Kluyveromyces lactis: one gene and its partners. The protein of the gene in region 6 purifies or fractionates together with the protein of the main gene of each other region. This does not show direct contact. Links are inferred from orthologs where the notes say so. Each region holds a gene or a part of one and is shown on either strand. Other genes may lie near its edges. The genes, in order: TAF7, TAF12, KLLA0_D06831g, TAF4, TAF3, SPT15 and SPT7.

Evidence for each region.
Region 1: the proteins of SPT15 (region 6) and TAF7 purify together in Saccharomyces cerevisiae (affinity purification with mass spectrometry; 5 studies listed by BioGRID, with this or other methods). This does not show direct contact. The link is inferred for Kluyveromyces lactis from reciprocal best matches to the Saccharomyces cerevisiae genes SPT15 and TAF7.
Region 2: the proteins of SPT15 (region 6) and TAF12 purify together in Saccharomyces cerevisiae (affinity purification with mass spectrometry; 11 studies listed by BioGRID, with this or other methods). This does not show direct contact. The link is inferred for Kluyveromyces lactis from reciprocal best matches to the Saccharomyces cerevisiae genes SPT15 and TAF12.
Region 3: the proteins of SPT15 (region 6) and KLLA0_D06831g purify together in Saccharomyces cerevisiae (affinity purification with western blotting; 7 studies listed by BioGRID, with this or other methods). This does not show direct contact. The link is inferred for Kluyveromyces lactis from reciprocal best matches to the Saccharomyces cerevisiae genes SPT15 and TAF14.
Region 4: the proteins of SPT15 (region 6) and TAF4 purify together in Saccharomyces cerevisiae (affinity purification with western blotting; 7 studies listed by BioGRID, with this or other methods). This does not show direct contact. The link is inferred for Kluyveromyces lactis from reciprocal best matches to the Saccharomyces cerevisiae genes SPT15 and TAF4.
Region 5: the proteins of SPT15 (region 6) and TAF3 purify together in Saccharomyces cerevisiae (affinity purification with mass spectrometry; 3 studies listed by BioGRID, with this or other methods). This does not show direct contact. The link is inferred for Kluyveromyces lactis from reciprocal best matches to the Saccharomyces cerevisiae genes SPT15 and TAF3.
Region 7: the proteins of SPT15 (region 6) and SPT7 purify together in Saccharomyces cerevisiae (affinity purification with western blotting; 3 studies listed by BioGRID, with this or other methods). This does not show direct contact. The link is inferred for Kluyveromyces lactis from reciprocal best matches to the Saccharomyces cerevisiae genes SPT15 and SPT7.

Annotation. Positions count from the first base shown.
Region 1 is NC_006038.1:736,562-740,686, forward strand, and holds TAF7 (TATA-binding protein-associated factor TAF7), read left to right. Parts: upstream 1-1,405; coding exon 1,406-3,613; downstream 3,614-4,125. Other genes in the region: MTF1 (RNA polymerase specificity factor), read right to left, coding at 1-929.
Region 2 is NC_006040.1:1,375,586-1,378,969, forward strand, and holds TAF12 (Taf12p), read left to right. Parts: upstream 1-1,343; coding exon 1,344-2,879; downstream 2,880-3,384. Other genes in the region: NEDD8 ligase DCN1, read left to right, coding at 68-205, 295-1,062; snoRNA-binding rRNA-processing protein DIP2, read left to right, coding at 3,299-3,384. UniProt on the Saccharomyces cerevisiae protein: Functions as a component of both the DNA-binding general transcription initiation factor complex TFIID and the transcription coactivator SAGA complex.
Region 3 is NC_006040.1:588,303-590,973, forward strand, and holds KLLA0_D06831g (uncharacterized protein), read right to left. Parts: upstream 1,411-2,671; coding exon 1,402-1,410; intron 1,294-1,401; coding exon 532-1,293; downstream 1-531. Other genes in the region: AIM41 (Aim41p), read right to left, coding at 1,919-2,476. UniProt on the Saccharomyces cerevisiae protein: Functions as a component of the DNA-binding general transcription factor complex TFIID, the RNA polymerase II associated general transcription factor complex TFIIF, and the chromatin-remodeling complex SWI/SNF.
Region 4 is NC_006039.1:526,701-529,716, forward strand, and holds TAF4 (Taf4p), read right to left. Parts: upstream 1,617-3,016; coding exon 516-1,616; downstream 1-515. Other genes in the region: RCL1 (rRNA-processing endoribonuclease), read left to right, coding at 2,206-3,016. UniProt on the Saccharomyces cerevisiae protein: Functions as a component of the DNA-binding general transcription factor complex TFIID. Binding of TFIID to a promoter (with or without TATA element) is the initial step in pre-initiation complex (PIC) formation.
Region 5 is NC_006042.1:2,524,072-2,527,097, forward strand, and holds TAF3 (Taf3p), read right to left. Parts: upstream 1,604-3,026; coding exon 554-1,603; downstream 1-553. Other genes in the region: mRNA-binding protein RRP12, read left to right, coding at 1-361; RET3 (coatomer subunit zeta), read left to right, coding at 2,262-2,831. UniProt on the Saccharomyces cerevisiae protein: Functions as a component of the DNA-binding general transcription factor complex TFIID. Binding of TFIID to a promoter (with or without TATA element) is the initial step in pre-initiation complex (PIC) formation.
Region 6 is NC_006041.1:892,707-895,402, reverse strand, and holds SPT15 (TATA-binding protein), read left to right. Parts: upstream 1-1,430; coding exon 1,431-2,132; downstream 2,133-2,696. Other genes in the region: cohesin-loading factor complex subunit SCC4, read right to left, coding at 1-783; PEA2 (Pea2p), read right to left, coding at 2,502-2,696. UniProt on the Saccharomyces cerevisiae protein: General transcription factor that functions at the core of the DNA-binding general transcription factor complex TFIID. Binding of TFIID to a promoter (with or without TATA element) is the initial step in preinitiation complex (PIC) formation.
Region 7 is NC_006041.1:1,117,448-1,121,441, reverse strand, and holds the start of SPT7 (SAGA histone acetyltransferase complex subunit SPT7), read right to left. Parts: upstream 2,801-3,994; coding exon 1-2,800. Other genes in the region: KLLA0_E12563g (uncharacterized protein), read right to left, coding at 3,701-3,994. UniProt on the Saccharomyces cerevisiae protein: Component of the transcription coactivator SAGA complex. SAGA acts as a general cofactor required for essentially all RNA polymerase II transcription. At the promoters, SAGA is required for transcription pre-initiation complex (PIC) recruitment.

The DNA of each region.
Region 1 (4,125 bases), on a different chromosome or scaffold from region 6:
TCAATTTCCAAATACGTCAACTCGTAAGGTTTTTTCTTCAATAAGACTGGATCCAAACGAGAAATGAACCAATCACGAGCCCCATGCCCCAAAATTTCAATCATCTCTTCTACTGGTTTGGATTTAAGGATCATTAACTTTTGCGTTACGAAATCCCAATGGTCCAAATCTATGCTGTGATCCCTAGGGTTGATTTCAACAAGTGAAAGATCGTCTGGACTTTTATTATCTGAGGGAATTATCACGGGATCAAACTTCTCTATGCAATCTGGAAGGAACTTTTTTACTGAGTTTTCAGAAGTCGCAACGAGCTTTGTATTAGTAGCTAATTCGGATAGAAGAGTAAGCCTGTTTCTGTCTTTGTTTGAAAATGGTGCGAATAATTTCCTTGCAGTTTGCTGAGGTATCCAAACTAACATCTTGACCAGACCAAATCTTTGCATCCAATTCTGGTTCGCTATACACTGCAAATATTGCACGTATAGCTGTTCACCCTTTTTATTGGTCAAATTGGCAGCGATCAAGAATTCATTGTGAATATGATCTCTTTTCTGCATGCTAGGAGTAAGGACTCTGTCTTCATTTGTCATTTCTAAAAATGTCTCCCATTTATATGGATTTTTATTGTAATTAACCATCGATGGGTGATCCTTCAAAGTTGCTTGATACAACTCCACAAATTTCAATCGATCCTCTAACAGGACATGCTTCTTTGGTTTCAGTCTTTCATTAAGTATGACTGATTGAATCAAAGGCCCGGCGTATATATCCAGTATTTGTAAGCTTTCAGACTTGTAGTATGATTCTAAATTCAACTTGTCTAATATTTGGTTTATTACCTTGGGGTTTTTCTCAAATTGACTTCCATAACTGGTATGAATCTTATTTGCTAGTGGTAGAACCGACTTCAGAAACGAACTCTTGGTCATGATTAGGAAAAATTCTGTAGTGTATTTGACAATAGAGAACGGATATTGTATATTGGAGCACAGAACTCATATAGAAGGTGCCAGTTCCATCCAATGAGTGCAGATCTGCTGTGACTTGTTTACAACTTTCATCTGGACAAAATGAAGCGATGAGTTGAAATATGAGCTTTTCCATTTTTCAATTCGGAATTTTATAGTGATGATGACGCTGGTGTTATAAAGACACCTAGGATAGTTGCGAACTATAAGCTATGATCATCAGAAGTTTCAAACTATTTTAAGTAGTTACTCCCTGATAGTATACAGTAGTACTTTAACATGACTTGCAATGCATTAAGCCAAATTCAGCGTTAGTCTGGACGTTTCCACGTGATCAAAACTCGCTTCAAATTACATAATGGAGGAAATCGTGAAATTGGAAATAATGTTCGACGGAAAATGTTTAGCTATCTAGATGTACAGTGAAAGTAAAATGAATGGTTGACCCAATTGGTGTGACACATACGACAAGGGGTCTCTCAAAAGACAGTAAACATTCAGTTTTAGTACAGTATCCCACAATGGGTCCGATAATCAGAATTAACAAACCCAAGGAGCCTGAATCAGGCGGTGGAACGGAACCTAAACTAAAAAAGATCAAGTTAAAGACTGGAGGAAGCAGTTCCAGCAGCAATAATTCCAAGCCTGCACCAAAGCTTAAAATCAAACTGAAAAAGCGTGATAATCAAGAGGATAAAGATATCAGCAATAATAATAATGTGGGCACTTCGAAGGGAAGCTCGCGGCCCATGAAGTTAAAAATCAATCTAAAAAAACGGGAAGATTCACATCCACAATTAGTGCCGCACTCCCAATCGCATCAGCAGCAGCAGCAGCGCAAAAGTACGAGTGTTGTCAAGACTCCTAAGTTCAGAATCAAACCTGTACGAGTTCCCGGTGAAGGGTACGATTCTGAGGCCAGTGATGTAGAGGATGATCCGCTAATCGAGGAAGGTATAATTCTAAGAGTATTACCAGATTTGAGTGCAGAATTCGTTAAAAACTCTATAGAGAGTGGTGATTACTCTGATGTCAGTATCAAATGGAAGGGTGAGAGACACGCGGTTGTGAAAGTGAATGGGGTGCAATATGGTGCTGTATTAGTCAACTTGCCAAGTATAATCGAAGTTAACAAGAGTGTTGACAGAAAGAACTTATTGAAGACGTTTGACGTTAGTCAGATGTTAATATGTGTTCGTACAGTGAATAAGGAAGAAGAAGTGTTTTCTTTGCAAGTAAGCGATACGGAAGATCTTACTAAGAAACATTTTGAAGAGTATCAGAAGGAAATTACCGAGCAACGGAAACAGCAACTCAGAGGGTACAATGGCGGCCCATTGACTGATGCTGAAAGTAAAAACATCGAACAAATCATAAACAAGCGTTACGATTATAAGCATGGTATCACCCCTCCTTTGTATAATGCTCGCAACCGTCGCTTCAGACATAGGATGGGACCAACTGCCTTTGATTATGTGGAACGTACTGTTGAAAAATTATTGAAATTAGATGCTGAAGCTGAAGAGTTCGGGTACGAGCTAGTTAATGAGGATGCAATTCAACAGCAAAGGTCTACAAGTGCAGCAGATCTTGCACATTATCAAAAGGCTGGTGAGCATATGGATGAAACATCTTCTGTTGGCTACAGCCAAGAGATCAAACCACATCATGTTACAGGTGCCGCGGAAGAAGATGAGGAAGAGGATCATGAAGAAGATCTTGAATTGGAATTGGAACAAGCTCTACAAACAGAAACTACTGATGGTTCTATACCGGCAAGCATGGTTAATGGACCGGCTGGAGCAGCGATGTCTACAGATACTGGCAGTGTTGTAAGACCAGGACAACTTCTTGAGGAGACCGGTGATGACGTTGAACAAGATAACGGTGATGATGAAGACGAAGAGGAGGAGGACGAAGAGGAAGAAGAGGAGGAAGAAGAGGATGAAGAAGAGGAGGATGAAGAGAACGGTGCTGATGGATTATCCGGATCAGTTACAACAGGAACAACTAAGTCACGTGTCTCAGACAACGATGGTGCTAACGAAGAAGAGCAACACAGAGAATTATTACTTGATGAATTGAGGGAACTAGAAAGTACGTTAGAATTAAACCGGAATAAAGCCAGTAGGACTACGAATCCGTTGTTAAAGACAAGATTCTTAGAAAGTATCAAGAAGCTTGAGAAAGAAGTTGAATTGAAACGAAAACAGTTAGGAGAACCAGTTGTTGTAGACGATGCAGGAAATGTACAGACAGCTCAAGACATCTCAGAAAACGTACCCGATACTGAAGCCGGTGCAGTATCGAACAAGGCCGCAATCAGAAATGGCAGCGTTAGTAGCGGTGGTAGTGGCGTAACCGGATCGGCATCAATTCCAAACAATGCTACGATTACCAATGGAGTGGAAAACATTGGTACCGAAGGGAATCTTTATGAGGAGGAGGATGAACTAGAAGAAGAGGAAGAAGAGGAGGAGGAGGAAGAGGAGGGAGAAGAAGAGGAAGAAGAAGAGGAAGAGGAACAGGAAGAGCAACGGCCGGACGAAGAACCGCAACAAGGACAAGAAGCAAGACAAGGTACTGAAGAACTTGATCAAGATGACATGGATATGATGCTTCTTTTCGGAGCGGATAACGATTAGGTTTGAACTGAGAGAAAAGAAACCACTAAAAGAAAAACAAAAACAGAAAAAAAATCAATACCCGAAGAGACAATAAGAGATACGTGATGATTTAGCATGTTATCTGAGTTTGGAATAGCATTACAGCTTCCCATGCTCTACAAGGGTGAACGATATGACTGAATGCCTGAACGAATGCGTGAATGAGTTGTGTAATCTGAATGTATAACTGAATTTATCTAGAAGCATTTTTTTTTTTTTTAAATTCTTTAAAGGGAAGTAGAAACAAGAATCAAGACAGGCAAGGAAGTAATGGATGGAGATCAATGGGAAACACGGGGCAACAACAAGAGGAAAATTACGAATGCGAACCTCTTCTCGTTTGCCGAAGCCTCTTGACGACGGCACACAAAGGGAAAGAGGCAGCAGGTGTTAAGAGGCACCTCACTTCGCCGTTTCTTTTTACTGCCTACAGAGCGGCTGAAAGAAAAAGGCCCTGCCATGTACATCTCAAAAAGGTGAATTGCGCAAAA
Region 2 (3,384 bases), on a different chromosome or scaffold from region 6:
CACTATGACCATTACGTTTGTTGACATATTTTAAATATACAGACAAGTTCATTTTAAGTGAAATTACATGTTTTACTTCATATTCGTTTCGAGTTTTAGGGTAAAGAAGAAAGCAATCTACTCGCGACAAAACGCCAGAGCAAGCGATCATTTACTCGTGGATAACAACCCTTCAGAAATTTCATCGTATTGTGTTTTTATAATGGTATGTTTTTTACTATGCCTCTACCCTCTGGTCAGGTGAATGACACCTTTACTAACAAATGCTAATCAAATAATCATTTGGAAAAATAGGAGAAAGAGTTCATGAACCTCACAGGATGCACGTACTCTGTTGCACAGGAATACCTTCGAAAGAATGGAGGGCGTGTCGAGTACGCTTTGAACGATTATTATGATAATGTGGATACCATTGGAGGTATGCGTCAATCTTACAATCCCAGTTTAGTGGCTATCTTTGAGAAGTACTCGAATGGCGTTTCGGCAACAGAATGGGACTCTTCTGGGCTAATACGGTTTATTGAAGACCTCGGTATATCGATAGAGGACCCAATCACGCTATGTCTTTCTCAAATGCTATGCATCGACGATTTAACAAAACCAGTATCTCGAGAACAATTCCTAAATGCCTGGTCAGATTTATGTTGCGACACTTTAAGAAAGATGAAAGCCTATTTACATACGCTAGAAGAGAGACTGGAGACGGACAAAGATTATTTCAAATCAATCTATTCCTACACTTTCCCATTGAATACAGACGAGGGATCTCGTCATTTACCTAAAGATGTCGCAATAGAATACTGGAATATTTTCTTTAAAGACAATAAATATGCGTTGAAAATCTCCAAGGAGAGACTTAATTCATGGCTTGAATTCATCAATTCTGACGACTCGGATCCAAGGAAACAGAACATCTCAAACGATATATGGTTGATGTTCTATAAGTTCATTGAACAATACCCCAATGACGAAAGTTTAAAACAAAACTATGATGAAATGGCTGCTTGGCCGCTACTTATAGACGAATATTACGAATTCTTGGAAGAAAATGACAAGCTGTGATGCAGCGCAAACACCTATATCGCTTATGAACATATTCATAGATACATATATTCATATATACGCATTGTGTATGTTGTCAGGGTAACACTTGTCTTCCTATTCCTTTCAGCATCAAAATTCAAAAATATTTCAAAGATCAACAAGTGAATAACAATCGAAAGTAGTTGCCGCGAGGTTAAAGCAAGGGCAAAACGGGGGCAAAGAAGGCCAGCACGAGGGTATTTCGACACTTAAAGTGGGCTTGCGGTGTGCATTTCGGATTACGAACCAAGATACGGACAATGTCAGGCCAAGCAGGTAATGTACAGCTGCAGAACCTCACGCCAGCTTCTATGCAGCAATTGGCGGATAGACTAAAATCGTTAGTTAACGAAGCTAAGCGAATTGGTGTAGATACCAAGGAAGGGAAAGAGCTATTGAGACAAGCGGCCCGTATTAAGGCTTTGTACGAGGCTTACAGTAAACAGAGGCAGCAGCAGGCCCAAGCGCAGGCTGGAGCACAGGGAGCTGTAAATAATAATGCCACGAATGTTAAATCCATGGATCAGCAGCAACAGCAGCAGCAACAGCAGCAGCAACAACAAGCTACCGCCAGTTCCAATAATGTGACGAATAACATAAAGGTCTTATTAACTCCTCAACAGCGTGAAGCTTACAATAGATTGGTTCAAAAGTATGAGGATGACGGTCAGAATATCAAGGGAGAATTCAACTTTTTGAAGAGAAATATTAGTGTTTTGGACCAAGAGATCAGGAATAGACGAGGTAACAGTCTATCGGTGCAGCAATTAGAGGTTAACAGGAATGAATTATTAATGAAAATCAGGGCATTGAGTGCCCAGTATTCGACATTACAACAGAAATATCAAGAGGACAGAAGAAAGTTTTACATTGAGTGTTCTCAAACTAATGCTGACTTAAGAAGATATCTACAAGCACAGCAACAAAAAGCTAATGCTGCTAAGTCACAGGGTACAGTAGCTGCAAATGCAGGTACACCGGGACCTCAGGCTGGTGTTTCTACTCCAGGAACCAACACCGGTACACCAATTCCAACAAGTTTGAATAAAGCTTCGAGTGGTAGTCCTCCAAATGCTATGGCGCAAAGACAAAATATACCAATTCAAAAGACCGCTGCAACTACTGCAACTGCAACAAACGCAAACCCGAGCTCAGCAGCTGCCGCACCAAATAACACAGCTTCTGACAAATCGTCCCCAATGCAGGTGACAACGGTGAATGCAGCTGCAAATCAAACAGCACAAAGCAATACAAGACCACCAATCTTCAAGCAACCAAACCCATCGATACCAATAAGTGAAAATGTCACCGCATCCCCAACAGTTTCAGTGTCATACAGAAGCAACAGACCTACGATAACAGGCGGTAGTGGTATGAACGCGCCAGCGCTAACTACACCTGTTATGACCAAACTACCGCCATATGAGGTCGATACTGAGCGTGTGATGTCTAAAAGAAAGCTCCGTGAACTCGTCAAAACGGTGGGTATAGACGAAGGTGATGGTGAAACCACCATTGATGGTGATGTGGAAGAGCTATTACTCGATCTAGCAGACGATTTCATTACTAATGTTACGAATTTCGCCTGTAAATTGGCAAAACATAGAAAATCCGATTCACTCGACGTAAGAGACATCCAAATGCATCTGGAACGTAATTGGAATATCAGAATCCCAGGGTTTGCCAACGATGAAATCCGTAGCACCAAGAAATGGAATCCAACCCCTTCGTACAATCAAATGGTAAATGCAATCAATAACAATAAAACTGCACGTACACATCCCGAAAAGAAGTGAAATGGATAAATTACCACTGTTTAAACAAGTTCATTCATTCAAACAGACTTAATTTGATGCATATATTATACATCATATATCATATATCTATTAATGTAACAATTCCTCAAAATATTGAAAATGGAGAAGTGGATGAGTACCTACAACAATGCATAATCAAGTCCAGGGAAACTGATTCTTAATACTCTTTGTCCTATTCTGCCTGTCTCATATATGTATAAACCACCCTTTTCTTTTTCATGGCTTCAAGTTGTATTTTTCAAAATTTTCCAAAACGTTAAAAACTATGGAAGGTCATCTCATCTCATCGCATAATGCTGTTCAAGAACAAGTATAACAAAACTTATATACTATAACCCTGTGTAAGATATCAGTTATTGCTACTATTATCCGCAGTGTGGAGTTTAAATTGATACACAATGGTTAAATCGTATCAACGTTTTGAACAAAGTGGTCTTTTTGGGTTAATTTCTACTTCAAATCAGTCGATCTATCTTCCAGCTAC
Region 3 (2,671 bases), on a different chromosome or scaffold from region 6:
GACTTTAGGAGCATCTGGTAAAATAATTTGTTGAGTTTTGACTCTTATTGTTCGAGGAACGTAAGGCTGATATGTTTGTAAACAACCACTTGTTAGTGACAATGCTGCTAGTGACAAACGTTATGGCAATATTAGATTAAAACATACCATTACAAAATCTTTTTCCATTATGTTAAGTGTTGACTTGATGCCAATACAGTTTTCTATCGACGGCTTGCGGACCGTTGTGCTACAACAATAGTAAAACATAATGGAGTATTGTGATATGCTATCATGTAGAATTTGATTCAAACTATTATTTTTTTCAGAGATAAGCTCATCGGTAGGAGGTCGACAATAATTAAAGTCAAGTCCAAGGGCGAATTCAATCAAATATTTCAGTGCAATTTTCCCTAGGCTTGATTTGTCTATTCATTATAGTGTTCATTTGGTACTTTTTCTGCAAGCAGTGCCTGTTAGTGGAGATGTAAGTTATAAAATACAACTACATAATTGTAATGGTTAAATTAGATAAACATGTGAGAGGTCCGGTTACTCGGTGTTTTTCTTGACGTATTCCCATAAACTCTTCAATAGACTTTCAGGCAAGCTATATAAATCAATAACGAACTCACCTTCTTCGATATTGTTCGTAATATTCATTTCTGGAGTTTTGTTATCAGTTATCATTTGTACTACTCCAACCAATGTATCCTCGTTTAGTTTTGTTAAGCCAAATGCTAACTTTTCCAAGTTCACAGAGCCTTTCACTGTTGAAGCGGAGGCGGTCTTGGCTTTTTTCGTTTTTACATCACCATTGACAGTAGATGCTTTTCTCTTGTCACCTGGAGTGGTGGCAGCTGTCGCTGTTGCATTTGGAGTTGCTGCTGCTGTTGATGCTACTTCATCGACAGGTCCACTTTTCTCTAGTTCTGCTCTTAGAAGAGGCTTATTGGTAGGAACTTGGATTACATGATCAATTTCATAGGCATCTTTCATGAAATGTAGGTCGTGAGTTATCTTCTTCTCGCCCCCTTTCTCAAGAAGATGCGCACTTATCAACAATTCAAAGCCACCCCAGCCTTGTTCTTCAATTCTAAAAGGAGGTTCCGTGAATGTTCTATGAGGGTTTGCAAAAGTTGGATGCAAATGATACACTACCTTATCAAATATCGTGGCTGGAATTTCGTTTCCTTGTTCATCCAAAAGAACTAATTCAATGGTCCATTGACGCATAGGAAAGTTTTCTACTGGAGGTGGTACATCCGGTAGGACAGATTGCTTGGTCTTAATTCTGACCGTTCTCTTCACAGTCTGTTTCCGAAATATTGAATAAAAGGTCTGTTAGTAAACTCATTGTGAAAAGAAACCTTCTAAAAACGAACTGAAGAAGCTTTTCAGTCTTTTTTAATCATTACATACCGACACCATCGTTGGTTGATTTGATTGGGGGTTATAAGCACGTCTAATGTTTCTCTTCTGGATATTTTCGTACTTGTAATTGCCATTATTTATCTCTGAATTTGAAATTTAGTCAATTCATGTTTTCAATGTTTGGTGAAATTTAGAGGAAGTACTACAATAAGGTGGAGGAAGGCAGTTGAAGATGCATGCAAGAGTTACGATTATGCTATTGTGGAGAGAGCAAAAGACTATCATGTCCATATTCTCCCCACTTAGTAGTTACCAGAGAGTATTGGTTACTATGTTTTATCACGTGATCTGGCAAAGCATCCTAGCGAACAACATGGCTTTATCAGAAGTCTTTAGATAGAGAATTGTTCACGTGAGTCAAATCCATTGCTGCGGCTTGATATTGCATAATTGTAAGTACATTTATTTACGGGATTGATGTGCCTACTTAATCACAAGGGCGTCATTCATCGGAGTTTTTTTTTTAATGAATGACTCTGTACAAGTTTGGTTTTAGCTAGGTGATTTATTGGAACACTTTCTTAAATTGAGAGCTAATACTGGACCTGATAGCAGCTGGAGATGCCTTCAATTCGCCTGGTAGTGTTTTCCAGTCAATTTTTCCGAAGACCTGCTTCAATTGTATAGATGGCTCTGATTCTTTTAGATCTGTTAAAATCTGCACAACACGAGCGTCTACTTCCTCCCTAGAAGCAACAGGCAAGGCAGTCTGATAATTCTCGAGGATCTTTATCTCATTGGCTTCTTTCTCTACCAAATCTTCTCTCTTATTTTTAACAAATTCAGCGATGGAGTCCTTCCTTTGCGAGATTAACTTGGCGTACACATCATACAATACAAATTCATCTAGATCCTTATCCTTACTGTCAATTTCCTTGTTCTTAATTGTAGATAGTACACCTCTAATGGTTGTCTTTCTTAGGTTGTCTTTTGCAAGCATTGCCTTCTTCAAGTCTTGTTTTAATGCAGCGATCCCATCAATGTAGCCTTGAGAACTGGCAAATCTAACAAAGGTTCTGGTCGTTGCAGTAGCGCGAACGCTTGGGATAACACATCTTAACATCTTTGTATTCGCTAATGATTTGGATGCTTGTCTTGAAGATTGAACCAAACGATCAAGATTATAGAAGGTCTATTAAATGTAACGTTTCTTTGTATTTGTTCATAGGTGCCGGTGTCTTTTGGGTTACTTGAATTTTCATAGAAATTATCATCAAGATGCAATTTTATTACCGTTGATCGGTTAAGTAAAAAAAAA
Region 4 (3,016 bases), on a different chromosome or scaffold from region 6:
AGTATCAAACTAAAACCAAAAAAATATATATGCATTGAGTTTTCAGATGTTCATGCAGATTCGTTCTTATGAATTCGTCATTGTACCTCCTTCGTTTCCAATTTCTCTAGATGATCTCCTTTGACCAATGACCAAATCATTGACAAGACTGGAGTATATAAAAGTATCTTGATATGATTCGTTAAAAAGTAATATAATAGATACAAACGATAAATGGTACCGAATTGCGTCGATCATTAGTGTACTTATTAAAGCGTCGTGTGAAGTAATGGTTTAATAAACTCTATTTTTTTTAAACTTTATTTGTCTCTGACGTGATTTTGAGTATTTAGATACTAAAAAATGAAAACTATCTTTAAATATTAAATATGCGACATGTCAGGTAGAAAAGGAAAAGTAATCTCGCATGCAAGTATGAGTCTCTATGTTATTTATCGAAAGGTTTATATTATATAAGTATGCATACTACAGAACATCTCGGAAACTCATATTATTCCTCAAAGTAACTGGAAATGCTAGTCTCTGATTCTAGCATATCCTTTAGTGATAACATTATTAACTCCTACTCGCCTATTTTCTAAAGCTAAAAGAAGGTCCCTCATAACGATGCCAGGTTCTTCTCTTGCTTCTCTATATTTGATACCCATTTCACCCCTTGCTGCAACAGCAGATGAAACATTTCCCTGATTTTTTAGGTCTGTCGAGCTGGACTTGGATCCAGCGGTCAACCAACTATATTTTTTTTTGTTACCCCCTGCAATCATCAAATTGGCAGTTGCATTTGATGCACGATATTGAGTCTCTTCAGTATCTAACCTAGCATCCGTTGTTTGTTTTTCTAAACCGAGTGCTATTCTTCTCTGTACTCTTCTTTCTTCTTGAGTCTTTTGTCTTAATGCTAAATCCCTCAAAGAACGACTCACTTCACTCCTCCTTCCCGTGTTTAGTTTAACACCTTTCCGTCTATGTATGGATAGGATTAAAGAGTTCGTTATCACGTCCCTCATGTAAAGTTCACATGCAGTAGACATTAATCCGAGTATATCAGTGTTTTTATTGAAATCTTGATGAAAGTTTTGTTCTGATGCAATTCTTTTCATGAAATCTGAAATGTTCTTAGGATGTAGGAATGGAGGATGAGATGGGACCTGGTTATTTGCTGAAATACCGGTTGCTTTTGTTCTAGCAACTGTGCTACTTAGCAATGCCTCTTCCTCTCTTATATCAACACCGGCCGATAACAAAGCATCACTAAGCTTGTCTGGATCACTTTGCTGTGGTTTTGTAGTTGAGGCAGTCGTACTACCTGTTGAACCCCCGGCATTCTTCTTCTGTTCTGCTTTCTGTGATTGTTTGCTTGTCGTACTCGTCGTCTTCAAATTTGGCGTACTTGAGTTTCGCGGAGATGCTAGGTTTGTAGTTGGAGATGATGCTTTAGGTAGAGCTAATGGCTGTTCTGTAACCATAGTATCGAATGGCGTAGGCAGATCACTGCCAAAATCTGAGCCACTGGGTTCCAGCCCGTTCTCTACTTTGCCAAATTCGAATGATTTGGAACGTTTATTTGAAGATAAATCTTCCGGTTCAGAATTCTTTCTCTTGGGCGATTTTGCCATCGTATTTTATACTAATTAGACCAATAGTGATAGTTTTCTCTGGTGAAACACGGGGGTAAAAAGAATCGTATTGGATACTTGAGGACACCTATTGCACTTGTCCCAAAAATGCAGGCAAATAAACTATGAAAAGAATAAGTCAATCTTTAAAAACAGGTCCAAATGCGGCCTATCAATTAAAATCCAGTTTCAGCGAAAAACGTACAACCTTAATGATTTCAACAAAGATAAAAAAACGTGCGAGTATTAAACATTATGCTAAAAAGTTCTATCTAGTTCCTACCTCTTTCTTCATTTAGATGCTATTGTTTGCTGGCTTTGATTTTTTCAAGATTGAAAGATCACATAATCCGGGTAACGAAGCTCATTTCTTTTCCTTGCAAAAAATTTGTCAAAAGCGTATCTCATCTCATCTCATCGCCTAACTGAACATACAACACAAAACCAATATCGAAAGGTTTCAGTTAACTTCCATCAACCATTCCATTAGCGTCCGATAGAAGGTCACTTTCTGTATTAAAAACTCTAAAGAGATTTATCAGGAAATTTATTCCTCACGAAGTAGGACAGACAAACAGACAAATTGGACATGTCATCCTCTTCCAGATACGTAACCTTTGAAGGTTCACGGAACTTTCGTTTACGAGTAGTAATGGCTACATTGTCAGGAAAAGCTATAAAGATAGAAAAGATACGTTCTGATGACCTAAATCCGGGTTTAAAAGATTACGAAGTCTCTTTTCTAAGATTGATGGAAGCGGTAACGAATGGTAGTTCAATAGAAATTTCATACACTGGTACCACCGTCATCTTCAGACCAGGAATAATTACTGGTGGTTCATACACACATCAATGTCCGAACAGTAAACCTGTGGGCTATTTTGCCGAGCCAATGTTGTATTTAGCCCCCTTCTCAAAGAAGAAATTCTCAATCCTATTCCGTGGTATAACATCTTCACATAATGATGCTGGAATAGATGCGATAAAATGGGGGTTGATGCCGATTATGGAAAAATTTGGCGTCAGGGAATGTGCATTACATACTTTGAAGAGAGGTTCACCTCCTTTAGGTGGTGGTGAAGTACACCTTGTTGTGGATTCATTGATTGCACAACCGATTACAATGCACGCCTTGGATAAAACAATGATTTCAAGTATAAGAGGTGTTTCATACTCCACAAGAGTCAGTCCCTCCCTTGTAAATAGAATGATTGATGGTGCGAAAAAAGTTCTTAAATCTGCTAGTTGTGAAGTAAATATAACTGCAGATGTATGGAGAGGTGAAAACTCAGGTAAAAGTCCAGGTTGGGGTCTAACGCTCGTAGCAGAGAACAAACAAGGATGGAGAATCTTTTCTGAAGCTATCGGTGACGCTGGGGATGTTCCAGAAGATATTGGTG
Region 5 (3,026 bases), on a different chromosome or scaffold from region 6:
CTCGACTAGACCAAAATCAAATAAAAATGAAAGAAGAAGGATTGTCGATGATGAAGTGTTCAGCTTTGATGCAGAAGGTAAGTTGGTTATGAAAAACGATAGGAGAAGAGGAGAAAATAACAATGAAGATCCGTTAGAGGCTATTACCAGTGGTGTTAATGCATACTTAGATGCTGTCAAACAAGGTCCAGTAAAGGGTCAAAAGAACAGACTAAAATTCAAAAAAGGATCCAGAGCTGGCAATGAGGATGATTTCAGTGATGATGAACAGGAAACCAAGCTACCAAAAACAAAACCAGCTGAAAAGGGAAGAATTGGTAAAAAATCCAATGGTAGATTTAAAAACAAGAGGAGATTATAAATCACTTTTACCTGATATGCACTGCAACGCCCTAGCCCATTTATCAATTTGATAGTTGTATATAGATGTATAGTAGAATAGACAAAATCGGAACCAAAAGATTGTTACATGTGATTGATTTGAAAACAATCGAGTGAGAGTGCGATTGTTTTGTCGTAAACATGAACTAATTTTGTGTTAAACAAATTATATTTATATATCGTATGCGTGTCCAAAATCCAAAGATGCCCTTCTTTCAAATGTATTTTGCATGTCCTCCATTTCGTCTAACTCTGTGGTAACTACATTGCCTAAAGTTAAGCCTCCCGTTCCAGAGGTCTCAAAATCATAATCCGTTTTATCAATATCGGTGTAGTCTTGCTGATCTTCCTCCGTATGGAGGGGTTCAAGTAAATCGTCAATATTCTCATCTTCATATGAAACAACTATGTTTTCTAACTTGTTATTTGGGTTACCGATAGGTAACTTTGAGATGAGTCTTTTCAGAACTATTTGCTCTGCTGCGTCTTCAGTACTTTCCTCTTTTCCTTCTTCATCTTCGTTAATTTCGATTCCAACTGGAATGCATGAATTGGTAATGATAGGTCGACTTCGGCTTAGTTTAGAGTATTTTAATCCAGGAATTGACGGTAACGAAATGAGATCTTGAGGAAGTTTCCCCGACTTCCTCTTCGCAAGTTCTAATTTTTGTGATGTCAACATGAATTGTATCCAGTCATCCATATCCCCGTTGTTTATCATTGCTTCCACCAATTCTGTCTCATCATCTCCATCGTTAGGCTTTTTGTCCGATGTATTCAGCTGGTTGATATACTCCGGAATCATTGACAATGGTTTACTAGTTTTATCACCAACTTTCAACAGGTCTGGACTTGGGGTACTGATAACTCGTGCTTCTGTTGTTGCGGGATCTTGAAGTAACCATCTTTTAAACTGTTGCATACCTTCATCGCCTGCCACGGACGGGTTTTCATCGTAAACATCCAGTAGGTTCATTGGTTTAAATACGCCGATATTGAGCATTCCTTGGGTAATATCTTGAAGGGACACTTCTTCATCTAAATCACGGCGATCCAGAGTAAGTTTCCGTATTTCTTGAATCATCAGTTCTAGATATCTCACATATAAATCAGTAAAAAGATTAACTGTCCCCATTTTGGCTCTATCGAAGCCATGTGCCCTTAAAAGGTGTATCATTGAAATTCGCAGCAGCGAAAAGTAAAAACTTTCATCAGTGGTCATAATTGTGAGGAGCTGAGTAAAGCAATAACACTTTGCTTGCTCAATGCTTAGAGCGTAGAATATACAAAATACTGCAAAGTCTTTGCAATTGGCCGGTATTTAACTTATGATAAATAAATCAAAGTAAATACTGCTTAGTAAATCAATCAGTGTCCTCGAAGCTCAGTACTGGTTGCATTCTGCATCGAACGAACCCCACAATAGACAGTTTTCGTTAATGTATAGTATTTGCATGGCTAACCTACTTATCAGACAGTAAAAGTTACAAGTTCCTTCTGTGTTTTCCATTACCCGGAAACAAATCACGTGATAAGAGATTCGATCAAACACTTGCTGTTTGGCGTTACTGGAGCATAAATCCGTATTCAATGATATCAACAGGCTTTCATTGCCATGGAGCTTTTTACATGGACAGCTTTACAAGACATCCAAAGAAGGCTACTGATTCTAATTACAGGAATGGGCAATGGTTGAGAGCTGAATTCTGCCTCTCTCGAGCGCAGTTCCTATTTGTCCTATATCTTGTCAACTGCAAATTTGGAATTTTCGCGTACCGCCAAACCAGCACTTCCCTCCTGAGACAGTAAACCATTGCATCAGTACTGAATAACACGAATAGCATACCCTGGAAGTAACCAAGAAGAAAAACATAAACAACATGGTTAACTTATCTCTATACACAGTTAAAGCTGTGTTGATTTTGGATGGAGAAGGAAGAAGACTTTACTCGAAATACTTCCATCCACCACACGAAGAAATTTCTGCAGATTCTCTTGCATCCAGCTTAAAGAAGCAAAAAGAGTTCGAATCTAACCTATTTGCTAAAACTCATGGGCAGAATTCAGACATTATGATATCAGACGATCTATTAGTTATTTACAGAGAATATGTCGATGTTTCGATATATCTGATCGGTGCAATCGACGAAAACGAAATTGTTTTGCAAGAAGCATTCAACGGGTTCAAAGATTCCCTAGAATTGATATTGGATACAGGTATTGACAAGAGGAGTGTTCAGGAACATTATGACATGGTGGTTCTAGCAATTGATGAATTGATTGATGATGGTATTATCTTAGAAACTGATCCAGCCACAATTGCCTCTAGAGTGACGAAACCGCCTTCAAAGGATATCCCATTGAATATAGAATTGAATGAAAAGGGTTTGCTAAGCGCGTGGGGCTTTGCCAAGAGTAAATTGGCTGAAAGATTACAGCAGGGCTTGTAAGCTTCTCCTCATTTTCCAGATTTCTTTTATAATCAGACACATATGTTTACCATCGATATGTAAATACTGTGTGAATGTCTTTGCCTCTTCTAATAAAGATGAAACTAAGATAAATATAAATATGAAATACAGTACTTTCACTTTATATGCTAATTAGTTGATTTTAATATGACAGCGTGAAAACTATTCGATTGG
Region 6 (2,696 bases):
TTCTGTGAGCTTATCAGTAATGTTAATGTCCTTGAAGATTAAAACTAAGAGCTCCAAGAGTATTTTCCATATTTTAAGTTTGACATGAGCTGTGTCCATTTCACTAAAATAAACCCACATATCAGCTGGTATGCTGATCCCTTCATCGAGACAGTAATTAATAAACGAACACATCACAACGAAATGGAATTGTTCATGGTTTTTGATCACGAACAGAATATCTCTATAATCAGCCAACTTCCTTTCATTGCCTGGAATCAACTGCAATCTAAAATATTGAAACAGCACTTTCCAAAGAGACGTATCGAGCTTTGATATAAGCTTGGATAGATTTCGTAGTGCAATCTTATTATGACTTGGATCATTTTTATACAGCGGGATCTTACAAAGAAGAACGTAATCCACATACATCTTCTCATTGACCCATGTTGTACTTTGCAACCTCTCTCTGAGTGCTGAAAAATATTGCTCTGCGAGATCAATGCGATGAGTCTCTTCAATCAATAACGTAACAAGATCGTTAGTGATCTGAAAATCTTGCTCTAATGAAAGCTGGAAACCGCCATCCTTCAAATATCGCAGACATCGTATAGCCTGATTTATCAATGTATAATACTGACGAAGTTCCAATTCAGTTTCAATTTCCGTAACAACATCATGTGCAGTCAAAGTGTACTGTTTCGAGAGATGATATATCAAATCTAACTGCTGTGCTTTTCTGCTCAAGGACTTTTGATCAAAAGAGATCGGAACGTTTAGCAGCTCATCTTTGAAGGTGTCCATAGCTAGTATTGTGTATCATACATCAATCGGAAGCTATTTTCAGCATGGGCATATGCTGTTCTTGAGACACGTTAATTGACGTGTATTATTCTAGGGCAAAATGGTTATATGAAACTTTGAAATATATAAGGGAACCAGGATCCACGACAAAAAGAAGACAATAAGTAAACCACCGATGTACTCAGATCGACATGGTATAACTTCATCAAATAACAGGTTTGGAAATGACATGATTGAACTGTTTACAAGTCAAAGAAGTCTACTCTGGTGATTCATCATCATACTAATGAAAATTGATCATGTGACCTAGCTTCATCAGATTTCTTTCCCGCTTACAACTTTTTAACATAGGAAACCAAATATAAATCGTAGAACAAGTAGGAAAAACCAGTCAACACACAAAGATTGCAGTTTTAAGTCGTGTATTTCTGAGGCAGCCCTTTAAGTTATATCAATACTTGTATACTATCTGCTACTCCTACACGATCTATTTTTTTTGAAGACAGTTTTCTTCTTTGGTTTTCAAGACTTTCAATTGTTTGGTGAAATACTTCAAGAAGCCATCTTTCAGCGTTCGTTTATTATCAACTGTTCCGAGTATATCGTATCAAGTTAAACTCTACTACCGCAGCTTAGCTTAGAAGAAGATGTCAGAAGAAAATAGAATGAAACAGTTCCAAGAGGAAAACAAGATAGTATTTGATCCAAGTACACGATCAGTATGGGAAACTCAAGAAAAACAAGAACATGAATCTTTACCTGGAACAGATGCTAATGCGGAAGACGCAGATAAAGGTTCTGCCACTTCGGGAATCATACCAACCCTACAGAATATTGTGGCCACTGTGAATTTGGACTGTAGGTTGGATCTAAAGACGGTAGCATTACACGCTCGTAATGCAGAATACAATCCAAAGCGTTTTGCGGCTGTGATTATGCGTATCAGAGAACCGAAGACTACTGCATTGATTTTCGCATCTGGTAAGATGGTTGTTACTGGTGCTAAGAGTGAGGATGATTCCAAGTTGGCTAGTAGAAAATATGCCAGAATTATTCAAAAGATTGGGTTCAGTGCCAAGTTTACTGATTTCAAGATCCAAAATATTGTCGGCTCATGTGACGTGAAGTTCCCAATCCGTTTAGAAGGTTTAGCATTCAGTCACGGTACTTTCTCTTCATACGAACCAGAGTTATTCCCTGGTCTTATCTATAGAATGGTGAAACCTAAGATTGTGTTACTAATTTTCGTTTCCGGCAAGATTGTCTTAACTGGTGCCAAACAAAGAGAAGAAATCTATCAAGCGTTTGAAGCTATCTACCCTGTGTTGAGTGAATTCAGGAAGCTATGATGTTTTATTGGATGGTACTATAAAAATTCATTTTTTTATTTTATTAAACAATGCACTAATTCGATTCTCGGAGGTTTTGTCTCGTCTTCTGCAAGAAAACCCTTTGTTCCTTCTATCTTTCCTTCCTTATTGTCTTTTCATATCCATTCTGCTATAATAGAAGTCTTTATTATTGGCACCTTACTCTATGTATCATATAGTTCATACACAAATTTAACGACTAATAGCCATCGGTAAATGGTTTCCAGCTTGAGTTTGAAATGGATGAGGAATTCTGTCTTAGATAATGTTACAAAGTTAATTACATTTCAACAATATATTGAAGTTTAATGCTAGTATTTTTGGATCGTTAAGGGCAACATAAAACGATTAGCGGTATCCTTTATTTTCCAACTTGTTCTCCAACTGTTGTCTCAACAGGCGTTCTTGTTCTAGTTCTTTTTCGTATCTTAACTGAGTATCAGCTAAGATTCGTTTAAATTCTTGCTTCATCATTGAGAAAGATTGATGGTTAGAAGCAGATGTTGAGGATTTGATGTCACTGGATTCGGAAATTGCTTGTGA
Region 7 (3,994 bases), about 220 kb from region 6:
ATTCTTTGAACCTTAGCGGTTGTTGTGAATTTTTGGGTTTATTTGGATTTTGTAGTGCTCTAATCAAAGAAATTTTATGACATATATGCCTAATCTCATGTATCAACTGGATATTCGTGTTCATTTTTGGACTCAACCCCTTATCGACAGTATTCAACAAAGAGCTCTTCATTACTTTTCCTTCCTTCATAATTTTTTGAACCATAGCTTCCTCAGCTTTATCTAATTGTTCTTTCCCAATACCTGTATATGCCAAGTCCGGGATATAATTAGTGATGTTGTACTCTGTCAATAACGAAGAATCTTCGAGAGTGATTTCATTCGATTCTTTAGTCAAGGAACTTTCGGCATCTTGTGATTTAACGTTCGTGTCAGAAAAATTCGATACACTGCTATCTGCTTGGTTCATTATTGCCCCAAAACCGTTTTTCATCATTGACTGTTCTTGTAATTTTTGTCTTGCAAATTCTGCTTCTTTCTGTTGCTTATACTCCTCGAAGAACTGATCAAAATTCTTTAATTTAGAAGGATTTTTCAAGAGGGCATCAGATTCGGAATTAATTTTGTGTTCGTTGAACAATTGTGATCTTTTCAAACAAATTTCAGCACGGGCTTTGGCTGTAAGTGTTTTCCATGTGGACAATTCCAGATCGTCCTTATCGTCATCTCGTTCAAGAAGCATCATTCCAGCGGCATTATCTTCTTCATCTTCATCCTCTTCCTCTTCCTCTTCTTCTGCATCCTCATGTTCTTGGTTTTTTTCAACAGTTGACACTGCTTTACTTTCAACTGCTGGTTCAGTAGATTCGTTATTAGTCGAAGATTGAGCCACTTTGGAGCCTCTCCCCTCTGCAGAAACTATGCCAACTTCTGGCGTTTGTTCAGCTTCGTTAGTGGAAGGTGTTTTGTCACTGCTTACTGTTTTATTGGTGGATTGTTGTTGATTCCGTTCAGCATCAGTTGCTCGTGTTTTTTTACCTCCAGGATGGTTCTCTTCCATTTCTTCTTCTTCATCGTCAATAACCTTTTGAACACCACGTCTCTGAATACCCTTACGACCTGAACCAGCATCCTCTTCATCGTCTTTAATGTTGCTCTCGGCGTCTATATCTTCTAGTTCTTTTTCAACTTGCGCTCTATCACGGATTGTTATATCTGGTATTAGTGGTACTAGTTGTTGAGATTTCTTCTGCATCGCAATTGCATGGGCTCTCAAGAAATGCTTAGGATCCGAGTTATACGTGAGGCAGTTTCTCCATATTAACATAATATCATCAACAAACTCATGTTTAGATTTATACTGAAAAGTTTTGAGCTTCTTCAGCACAGTGTTCAAATCCATTGGTTTTTTAATTATTTGGTAATAGTTTGGAGCTTCTCTCTTGCTGACTTTGTTAAGAAATGCAGTAGAATGCTCTGTGAAATTTCTGAGTTCCAGTACCACCTTCTCGCATGCATCGTATAATTCTTCTTGTCCAATTTTATCTTCAGAAGCCCATTTAGATCTGTTCATTCTAACATCCATTAATAAATGTTTAAGTTCGTAATCTGAAATATCTAGCTTACTTTTATTTTCCTGTACCGATTTGAGCAAATGCCTTAATGACAGATTTACGACACCGAGGTCCATTTGGATATCTGCTTTAGTCTTAGTATTGATCTTCTTATCTGCCGCAGACTTATGATGAGATATGCTAGGGTTCCCTGAGTCATCCTCTTCTTCGTCTTCAATCTGTTCGTGAGACCTTTTCCTTGAGCTTTCTAGCATTTGATCATTTTCCTGAAGTTTTAAACGCCTCATAGTGGTCTCTTTATCATTGTCAAAGAGATGATATATTTTGTGAAAGTTACCGATGATATCGTAGGTATTTACAGATGGAAGTTCGTTCAAAGTTTCCTTTGAGATGATGAAATGCAGTCTTATGAGTCCGTTATCAAGTTGCTCGTAAATTGGCGATTCAGTTTCATCTGACACTTTGGGTTTCTCATCAAGATCATTAGGATGAGAGATTTTTCCATTTTCTGTATCATTTTTTTCTATCTTTTGAGGATCTTCTTCAGCATCATCGTAATTATCCTCGTCGTCGTCATCATCATCTTCATCATAGTTATCATCTTCATCAGAGCCTTCTTTGTTTTCGCTATTCTTGCTCACTTCTTTCATAGTCAAGGGTGCTGTGTCATTTGTAGGAAGCGTGGAAGAGTTGGGAACCGCACTTTGATCTATAAGAGTATTATTACTTCCATCCTCTATTACAGCGCTATCATTATCCGTGTCAAGTAGAAGGTATTCTGAGGATGTTTCTGGCTCAAGGAGAGTGAGTCCATGTTCCCATACAACGTACCTGACTTTCATAGATAAATTTCCTATAAAATCCAGTCCATCTAGCTGGGCCTTCAATTGTTCCAAATCGATCATATCACTGTCGTCATCGTCAACACTTTGGTTATCAGTCGAATCATGTAAAGGAGTGCCAGTTCTCGAGAGTCCAGAACTAGCTTGAGGTTGTTGTTGTGTTGATAATGATGGTAATCTGGTAGCCGCTACCAAATCATTAGTGGCACCTTTGTCGGAAGTTGCATTAAGAGTTGTATTCAGTTCTACAAATAGTTCCAACTTGCCGGAGAGAAACGCATCCCATATAAGTGTCTTTGATTCTTGGTCTGGTAGACTCAACAAGTACTTCAATAAAAGTAACTGACTCGGATTGAGGTGCTTTTTAAATACATCATCTGCGAATAACTTCTGGATGGTTCGAAGTATTGCGGCGGCATCGGACCGCTGGTAACTTGTAATCATGGACAGTCAACTTTTTCCGCAGAAAGAACCACTAGAGTAAATAAAGAGTAGTTTTGAAGGAAAATTCTGAATCAATTCCTTCACTACCAGCTCGCTTGCCTCTCGTTTTACTGATACAAGCTGTAAACGGCACGACTTTTGAGTGTATGGTCCGAATCTTGTTTGTCCATCAGTTGCACCGATTGTCTGTGTTTTCCAAAATTCACGAAATGTCAAAAAACATCAAAACGTATAAAGTGATATTGGGACAGTCATACGGCTTATTCGTTTCAGCGGCGCTTAGCCTTAACATACAAGAGTTGAGTATCCAACAGCTCTACCCAGTTGTATCTATATATATAGGACTAGTTGTGGTAGGTTTTTAGTACCTAGGTAAGCATTGATAAATTGATTTTCACTAGCTAGAATGATCAGGCGTATGTCTCTCCATTTCTATAATTGTGACCAAATTGGCACATTCAGAAACCAATGTCTGTGGACAAAAACCAGTCTTGAAAAGTCTTGAAAAATCTTGTATAATTATAACCAATGGTTCTAGCTTACCTGTCGGAAACAGTCGTCTAATGGAAATGAAATATATCAAAATTATACGGTATATATACCTACATGTACCATGAGCACATACACAATATAATATAAAGAAAATTGGTGCGTTAATATATATACTATTCTTTCTAATACTTTAAACCTTGAAAGCTTGAAGTTGAGAATTGTGTCAGAAGAAGTCCAAAACGATGTGAGTTGAAAGTACCGATAACAAAAAGGGGTAGGATATACAATGGTGGAAGGTTTGAGTATTTTTTTAGTCGGATTAAGATGATATTACTTTCCGCCGAACCCTGTCCTTTTGTAGTATTCTTTTCTTCGGTTCATTCTTCTTTTTTTTTTGTTATATTTCTTTCAAATAGCATACTTCTTAGTCCATTCTCTAGCAGTAGCCTCGTACTTAGCTCTATCGGTCTTATACAAATGAGCGATTTCAGGGACCAAAGGATCATCAGGGTTAGCGTCTGTTAGAAGAGAACAAATGGACAACAAGACCTTAGAGATAGTTAAAGCTGGAGACCATTGATCTTTTAGGATATCTAGACAGATGTTACCATTAGCGTTGATATTTGGGTGGTAGATCTTAGTGGTGAAAGAGATCTTTGGTGGTTTGAAGGGGTAATCTGTTGGGAAATGGATTGATAGGAA